Lytechinus pictus: one gene and its partner. The protein of the gene in region 1 binds, or shares a complex with, the protein of each later gene. Links are inferred from orthologs where the notes say so. Each region holds a gene or a part of one and is shown on either strand. Other genes may lie near its edges. The genes, in order: ubiquitin-conjugating enzyme E2 G2-like and lipid droplet-regulating VLDL assembly factor AUP1-like.

Region 1 (3,930 bases):
GTGATGATAAAATTACCAACTGTAATGAGACTGGCTGTTTACACCAAAAAAAAATAGAATATGATGTACATTCAAAACAGTATCAGATGACAGTCATTGAAAAAAAAATATCAGGAACAGGAGAAATCATCAGGAAGATAGGCCTGTACCTTTGTAAGCTATTTCCCCGACTCCTTCGAAATCGAGGCACTCTGAGAAAACTTTTACCTATATGTCACTCTAGGAGTGATTTAATAAAAGATGCAAAGGGGCTCTCCTTTCTGGACGGTGTTAAACAGGGGCGGATCCAGGATTTTCCAAAGGGGGAGGGGGCACATTTCCCCAATAAAAATTTTGACAAAAAGGTCCTTATTTAAAAGGACCTTTTGGTAAAAATGGCACTTTGGTAAAAATGGCATATTCACATCATAGAGAAGGGGGACACGGGCCGGATGTGCCCCCCCCCCCCCCCCTTCCTGGATCCGCTACTGACTACAGACTTGAGATATTTATATCTCAATAAATAGAGTAAAATTCACAAAGCAAAATGCTGAAAATTTGATCAAAACTTTTTCGGATAACAAATAACGAAGTTATTTGCATTATTCCGGTGAAACAGTTCTAGGCATGTCTTCATGAATATTCATTAGGCGGACGGATGATGCCATATCCCCACTTGTTCTTTTTATTTTGGTATATGAAATTAGGTTTATTTTTTTTCTACCAAGAACTAAAACAATTGGATTGACAACTGATTAAGTGCATTACTGCAACTTATTTCATCATAATATCATTTACACATGAATGAAAAATGAAACAATTATGATTTCATGTAATAACATAAGAAAAAGGAAAGTGGGGATATGACATCATCAGCCCACCTTATGAATATTCATGACGATGTGCATATAACTGTTTTCACAAAATATTGATAAACTTTAAAATTCAATAACTTCGTTATTTGTTATCCGATTTCGATGAAATTTTTATCATTTTGATTTGTGAATTTTACTCTATTTATTTAAATTAACTATTTTCAGCCCGGACCATCCTTTTAAATAAATCTAAAATTGCTCGGCAGTAGTTTCGGTCGGCACTTTGCACATTTCACAGCAGTAAAAAAAAAGTAAATCATTTTTGTTAGAGATAATAATGGAATCAAGATCACGATATCCATGATAGAACGGATTAAAATAATTTGTGCACACTATACTTCGAATTTTCAGCTGATCCAGACCTATTATGCTAAGATTTTTTTATTTTTTCTTGTTTCTTTCTTAATTTTTTTAAGGGAGGGAAGGACATTCAAATATTATAATTTTTTTGTTATTTGGTTGATTTGCTTCAATAAAAATCTAAATATATATATAATGTCAGACCATTTATAAAATAAACTTTAATTCATTTCTGAGTGATAGAGATGATGATGGAGAGATTTGTTTTTATCTCTTTACATGTGTCAGTACTAGTTGCATCAGTTCACGAAATCGCCTCTCATTTTTGCTTTGCAAATAAATCTCTCACGGCTACCTTCCTGAAATAAACATTTGTTGGGCCTAGTTGGGTTTCATCTCCTTGGTTTGTCAATGTCAGTGCAATTGACCCGCAATTGACGTGTCAAAAAACGGGCATATTTTGAGAGAATAATTAGAACTGAATATGGCCGGAGCTGCACTGAAGAGATTAATGGCTGAATATAAACGTGGGTATAACTCATAAATTATATTTGAAGGCTTAAATTTGTATTATTTTAACTGATAACTCGATCTTTATTTATGTGTGGCATATTGCAATTATTGCGTGTGCCCCATTCGTAGATTCCCGTGTTTGTGATTCGATTGTGTCTTGATAAAGTTCTTAAGTTCGTATTTATTGTAGTCCAAGTTCATGGAAATTTTCTTTCCACCAGCATTACAAATATAAATGAAACGGCAACATGTGAGAACATACAAAAATGGTGAATAATACATGTAAAATAGACAAACAAAATTATGAAATTAGTCAAAAAATCAGAAGACAAAATTTTTGGTGGTGGTCGCCAGCTGAGCGGGGGCCCCGGGGGGGGGCACTCGACCAAAAAAGTGGTAGGGGTGTGCCACGGGCGATGCAAAAAACGGGGGCCTTGGAGCGGGTTTATTGTAAAAAGGAGGGTCCTCGGAACGGGCTTCGGAACTACAAATGTTTGTGAAAACGGGGGTCATCGGAACGGATCTCCGTATCTCTGTGAGTGCGTATGCATCCCTATGGAACGGGCAATCGTGCATGACGCAGCTAGCGCGGCCTCCGCCGGGTGCGCTCGCGCTTAGGCGATGGTCGAAAAGCGCTCTACGGCCGCTTTTCACCAAAATTGTAGCAGATCAATGCGACCGGAACGGCGTAACGAAAAATATGCGAAGCTTTGGAGCGGATTTCTTTCTTCTTTTTTCTCGATAAGAAGGAAATGCTATGCCTTGGAGCGGCTTTCTTTGTTCTTTTTCTCAATAAGACAAAAATGCTATGCCTGGGAACGGAAATTTGAGTGTAAAAATGGGGGTCCCCTCCGCGGCACATACCCACTATGCATTATATACTGAGTGCCCCCCCCCCCCCCCCCCCCCCGGGGCGGGGACATGTTTGCTCACCTGTGACCTTTAACTTAAGATTAGGGCATAATCATAAATTTCTTTGAAATTCAATTACTTTTTCACTTTACGTTTAGAATCCATTGTCATGTGATATAATAATGTCGTGAATGTATCGTGTGTGTGATGCTCTAATAATCGATTATGACATTGGATTGTAAAGTTACTCCAATTATCAACTGAAAAAGTTATAAATTTAAACTGCATGCAGACAATAAGTTATGTAGTTTAATGTTTTATTTTATGTCATGAACAGAGCTAACAGTGAACCCTCCAGAGGGTATTATAGCAGGCCCTGTCGATGAAAAAAATTTCTTCGAATGGGAGGCTCTGATTACGTGAGTATTTTCTAAAATCTATTCTTTGCTTTGTCACATAAAGTCTGCTTTCATGATTTTTACATGTATTTGATTATTTTCTTTCGCATTCAGAATATTAGTAGAATATTGTTCTATGATATAACAAACAAAAACTTGTAATGAATTATCTTGTTGACAATGAATGGTAAATGCGAACCTCTAATTATTCCCAGCTAAATTACCAAACGTACATGCAAGTATTCTGTAGTAAAAGAACTACTGTTGTTACTAAAGATTTTTAAACCATCACAACAAAAATACAATGTTATAAAGCAGGATGGGATATTGATAACATACATTTGAATATTTGGAATATGAAGAAAGATGGAGGTGATGGAGATGAGATGATTGCAGAGTTGAAACTACATGTAAATCATTGACTCACTATCGTACTTTAAATGAATCAACATTGAACTTTTTCAAAGCCATCAGGGGCAATTCCACGAATACAGAATTGGTTGGTGGGGGAATATGGGGCATTATTTTTTACCAGTATTACAAAATACTCTTCAATTATTATTATTTTTAATTAAAGGTCAAGTCCACCCAGAGTAATTTTAATTTGAATAAATAGAGAAAAATCAAACTGGCATAACGCTGAAAATTTCATCAAAATTGGATGTTAAAATAAGAAAGTTACGACATTTTAAATTTTCGCTTATATTTAAAAAAACAGTGATATGCACAATTAAGTGACATTCAAATGAGACAGTCGATGATGTCTTTCACTCACTATTTCTTTTTTTTATTGTTTGAATGATACAATATTTCATTTTATACATATTTGACAATATGGACCATCTTTGACTTAACCATATAGTATTAAACAATGCTAATTCCACATTTTCAGGGAGGAATTCAACATTGTTTTACTTGACAATGAGGAGAAAATAAGAATATTTCATATTTCATAAATACAAAGGAAGTAATGAGTGGATGACATCATCGGTCTCCTCATTTGCATACCGACC
Region 2 (3,930 bases), on another chromosome or scaffold:
ATATAAAAGTTATGCAAGTTTCTTTTCCGTGATAAAATAGAGCAATAATATAGGTATTTAATGAATGTAATAATTTCAAAATTGATTCATTGCCCTTGTCTGAGATCAACCAATCATACACTATACCTTTAAGAGATTTGAAAAAGATGACCAACATGCATGACTGAACCACAAAATATTTAAACAATGGTAATACCACATGTTTAGGGAGAAATAAAACTTTGTTTTGCATGACAATGAGGAGAAAATATAGTATTAGAACATTTAGTATAATAAAATACAAAATAGGTAGTGAGTGGGTGACGTCATCACACCCCTCATTTGCATACCGACAATGGTGTGCATTGTGAAATATGTCATAACTTTCTTATTTTCCACCCAATTTTGGATTTTGATGACATTTTCGTTATCATTATTATTATTTATTCGGCATTTCAAAATATATAAATTACAGTACAATACAAATTACATAAACATTAGGACATACGTGACATAGTACAAATGACCTGGAATAGAGATAAAGGGGCTGCCTTGGTTTGGAAAAGGTTAACTAAATTACCATGACCCACAAGTCTTCCTTCCCACACCCCTGCTTGTTGGATTTTTCTCTATTATTTAAATCAACTATTTGATGGGGATGGACTTGTCTTTTTAGAATGTAAGGTTATTTCAATAAAATGAATACGTTTCATAAATAATTATAGTCCTTCGCATTGAATTTTAACTATATTTGATACCCAATAAATTTGTTTTTAAATACTCGGAGCGACTTGAATGCTCCATTTGTTCCTACAGTGGGAAGGGCGCGGGGGTAGGCTTATAACTTGTCACAGTGCAATTTCCGAGTCTCCTCAGTGACGTAATGAGGCAAGCATTTGAAGGGAGCCAGGCAAGGCTTATGTGCCAAAAAAAAACTGTGATAGATTAAATGCACAAATGTAACTTCCGGAAAATGATATTCATATTTCACCATTTCCCCTTCCTTATCTTTATTTTTCTCCCTTGAAGTGAAACTCTAATGTTCCCTCCAAAAATATAAAGAGAAATGATAATTAAGAGACATACATAAATAAACAAACAGATGAATAAATAGATAACCTACATAAATGAAATGGGGAAAAGAGTACAAGTTTTGGATCATATTCAAGGATGCCAATTATATGTTCTTTTCATATTACTACTTGACACCTGACGGACACCATACACGAGTTTTGCTGGCGCAACTATCTTTGGCTGATCTGAAGTAAAGTCAAAAGAAAATTCGTGCCCTTGCTTGGCCTTGTTTGTTGATCAGAACAGCGCAGGAAGGCAGTCGAATACCATTGCAATAAATGAACACATTTAATTCCTGAATACCTCGTATGGACCGAATCATTCATATTAAGCATTATACAAAGGGTGAGATTTACAAGAAATATTAGAAGTGACAATCCAGTTGTAAATATTCGTACGCCTACTATTGTATTGATTTACTTTACCAAACGTAACTTTGAATGTATGGGACTGAAATGTAAAACTTGAGTATTAACAACGTGACGTGAGTGAGGTTGCTCTCTATTCTATAACTTCGCAGTAGCAAGTTAATTTTACTTTTCAAAAGCTTCTAGACCAGCTTAACCTTAAGATGTTGTTTAAACTAGTTTAGAGGCCTTATCGTGAAATTAGTCACCTCTCTTCTCGTGTGTCATGTGTCATCGTGTGCACTCGTGGTGTACAAAGTCAATGGGAGTGGAAAGAAGTCACTAGTGAGTAGTGGACTGGTAGTGCTGACGAAATAAAATAAACGGCAGTGAATGGACTGGTGACTTAAACCAGGATAATGCCAGTTTGGATTAGTTTCGACAACATCAGGATTTAATGTAGATAGTATCTTTCTTGTCTTGAATCTTGCTAAGTCCGATCCAAGTTATTCATTGCTCAAATTTTTTGGCTTTGCCTTTGACTTTGTTAACTCAACCCCACTCACACGTATTGCGAGGTTAGTAGTACTATTAGTACCTGACTAAACCCCTCCTTCATGTCCTTCAAAGAATGGATGCTTTATCCCTTATTACATGAGCAGCCTTGCCCTTGGTATTCTAAACTCAATATGAAAGTATAAAATCTAGTAGTGATTGCCTATGAATTTTCAAATTAAACATGTTAAACCAATTTTTTCTCTAATTTCAGGACTTTCGAGGACAAGGAAAGGTGGTTCTACTCACTCATCCAGAGCCGAGGTTGTACTACTCGCAGTTGTTTCTCAGTGATTAGCCAAGTGAAAGCTTAAGATGGTGGTTGAAATGGCCCAGCTTTTCAGTCCACAAAGGTAAGGTTTTTAGTATAAAGTGGATTAGGATCACCATGATCACATGTCAGTCAGATATCGAAACTTTGGAAGGTTTTTAAGACTGAAAAGTCAATTTTTTACCTTGCTTTTTGGCTATTTGAAGAATTTACTTGGTCTTGGATGAAAAAATATTAGTTCTCAAAATAAATAGGCAATTTGGAGGCGATAGAGGTGGTCCTGCTTCAAGGAAAAAAAAAATTTTTTTTAATCAGTTTGAGTTTACTTTGATTTTCTTTGTTCCACATTTGATGTTTAATATTCTGCTTTCCATTTCTAAATATGATATTTCTAATTTTTACCTTTCTCTTCTTCTTGTTTTCTTGTTTTGTTTGTACTTTTTCATGAAGTGATGATTTTACAAGCGGAATACAAAAACGGATGCTGAAGTTTTCCCATTTCTCAGCAAACTTTTAAAGACCAATTTATGCAAAGCATGCGTTGTAGGTCTTTTCTAAGTCAATTTTCTCTTCAGTTTATTAGCTTTCTATGGTCCCAAAAGGTAAGCCAATGTCTCAGGATTAGCCCACAAACATGAGCGATGTCATGATAAGGGTATCATTTGTGCACTTACCTGTACATGTGTGTTATGATATATTATTATGATATGATTATGATTATGATATTATTATGGTATAATATTATATTATGGTATAACATGAAAAAGTGAAAGGGATGTGATTTGCAGATAGTAAATATATATGCCACTGCATTAGCCACAGAGAGTGGGTGATCATTGTAAAAAGCCTAGATGGAAATCAGATAGCTAAATAGCCAATGAGTAATTCATTTTATTGTTCTTTATTTTTGTTGCAGGATAGGGGACAGCAAGACAGCTGTTATCCTGGCCTTGTATTTTCCTCTTGGTCTTATCCTAGCAGTTCTAAGGCTCTTCATTGGTTTACACGTTTTCATCATTGCTTGTATTCTTCCTATCCAAGTGCCCTTTAGAAGGTATTTAATCTCTTCCCAAGAAAATTGGTTTTATTTCATTAATTGCAGGACATTATTTGAAGCCTTTTAAGATAAACTATTCTTCTTTGAATTTGCAACATTAGTATTTTACTTCTTAAAAGTTTTCTGAAATAAATTTGGATTGACAGAAATAATTTTTTGCCAACTATAAAGTGAAGAACAATACATTTAATTTTCCATCGCTCTACCATTTTGAAAAATTAATATTCACATTAAAGGGGAATCCAGCCTTGGCCATTGAATGATGTGTTTGGAAGGAGAAAAATAAATTAAACAGAATGGTGAAAGTTTGAAAGAAATCGGACAAGCAATAAGAAAGTTATAGCTGCTTTAAAATTGAGATCACTAATACTATGTAGATTTCAAATTGGCAACTGGGTAAGTAAAGTATGACAAGGGGCAAGGACAACTTTCCCATAGGCCATGTACTTTATTATCAGGGATTTGTGGTTTTCTCCAAAGTACCCATTTCCCTGGGGCAGTAATCTAAATATAACCCAGGTAGTATATTGTTTTATGTCCGCATGAAAGAAAAATATAATTTGAAATAAAACTTTTGGGAAAAATGACATTTTAGCCATGATATGTATTGGAGTACATGGAAGAGTAGTCCTTGCCTTACATCACTA

What was found.
Region 2: the proteins of ubiquitin-conjugating enzyme E2 G2-like (region 1) and lipid droplet-regulating VLDL assembly factor AUP1-like are in contact, whole or in part, in a crystal structure (PDB 7LEW), measured with the Homo sapiens proteins. The link is inferred for Lytechinus pictus from reciprocal best matches to the Homo sapiens genes UBE2G2 and AUP1. Residues at the interface, in NP_003334.2 of Homo sapiens: Tyr13, Thr17, Pro20, Gly23, Ile24, Val25, Ala26, Gly27, Pro28, Met29, Asn30, Glu31, Glu38, Leu40, Met42, Glu45, Glu50, Phe51, Val53, Pro55, Lys156, Val159, Gln160, Ser162, Leu163, Leu165; in NP_853553.1 of Homo sapiens: Ser379, Arg382, Gln383, Leu386, Arg389, Lys390, Leu393, Tyr394, Tyr396, Ala397, Arg398, Arg400, Phe401, Thr402.

What each region holds. Positions count from the first base shown.
Region 1 is NC_087245.1:12,249,603-12,253,532, forward strand, and holds the start of ubiquitin-conjugating enzyme E2 G2-like, read left to right. Parts: upstream 1-1,377; 5' UTR 1,378-1,638; coding exon 1,639-1,681; intron 1,682-2,856; coding exon 2,857-2,938; intron 2,939-3,930. UniProt on the Homo sapiens protein: Accepts ubiquitin from the E1 complex and catalyzes its covalent attachment to other proteins. In vitro catalyzes 'Lys-48'-linked polyubiquitination. Involved in endoplasmic reticulum-associated degradation (ERAD).
Region 2 is NC_087256.1:4,941,315-4,945,244, forward strand, and holds the start of lipid droplet-regulating VLDL assembly factor AUP1-like, read left to right. Parts: upstream 1-1,171; 5' UTR 1,172-1,398; intron 1,399-1,433; exon of another isoform or gene 1,434-1,537; intron 1,538-2,169; 5' UTR 2,170-2,270; coding exon 2,271-2,308; intron 2,309-3,142; coding exon 3,143-3,280; intron 3,281-3,930. UniProt on the Homo sapiens protein: Plays a role in the translocation of terminally misfolded proteins from the endoplasmic reticulum lumen to the cytoplasm and their degradation by the proteasome. Plays a role in lipid droplet formation. Induces lipid droplet clustering.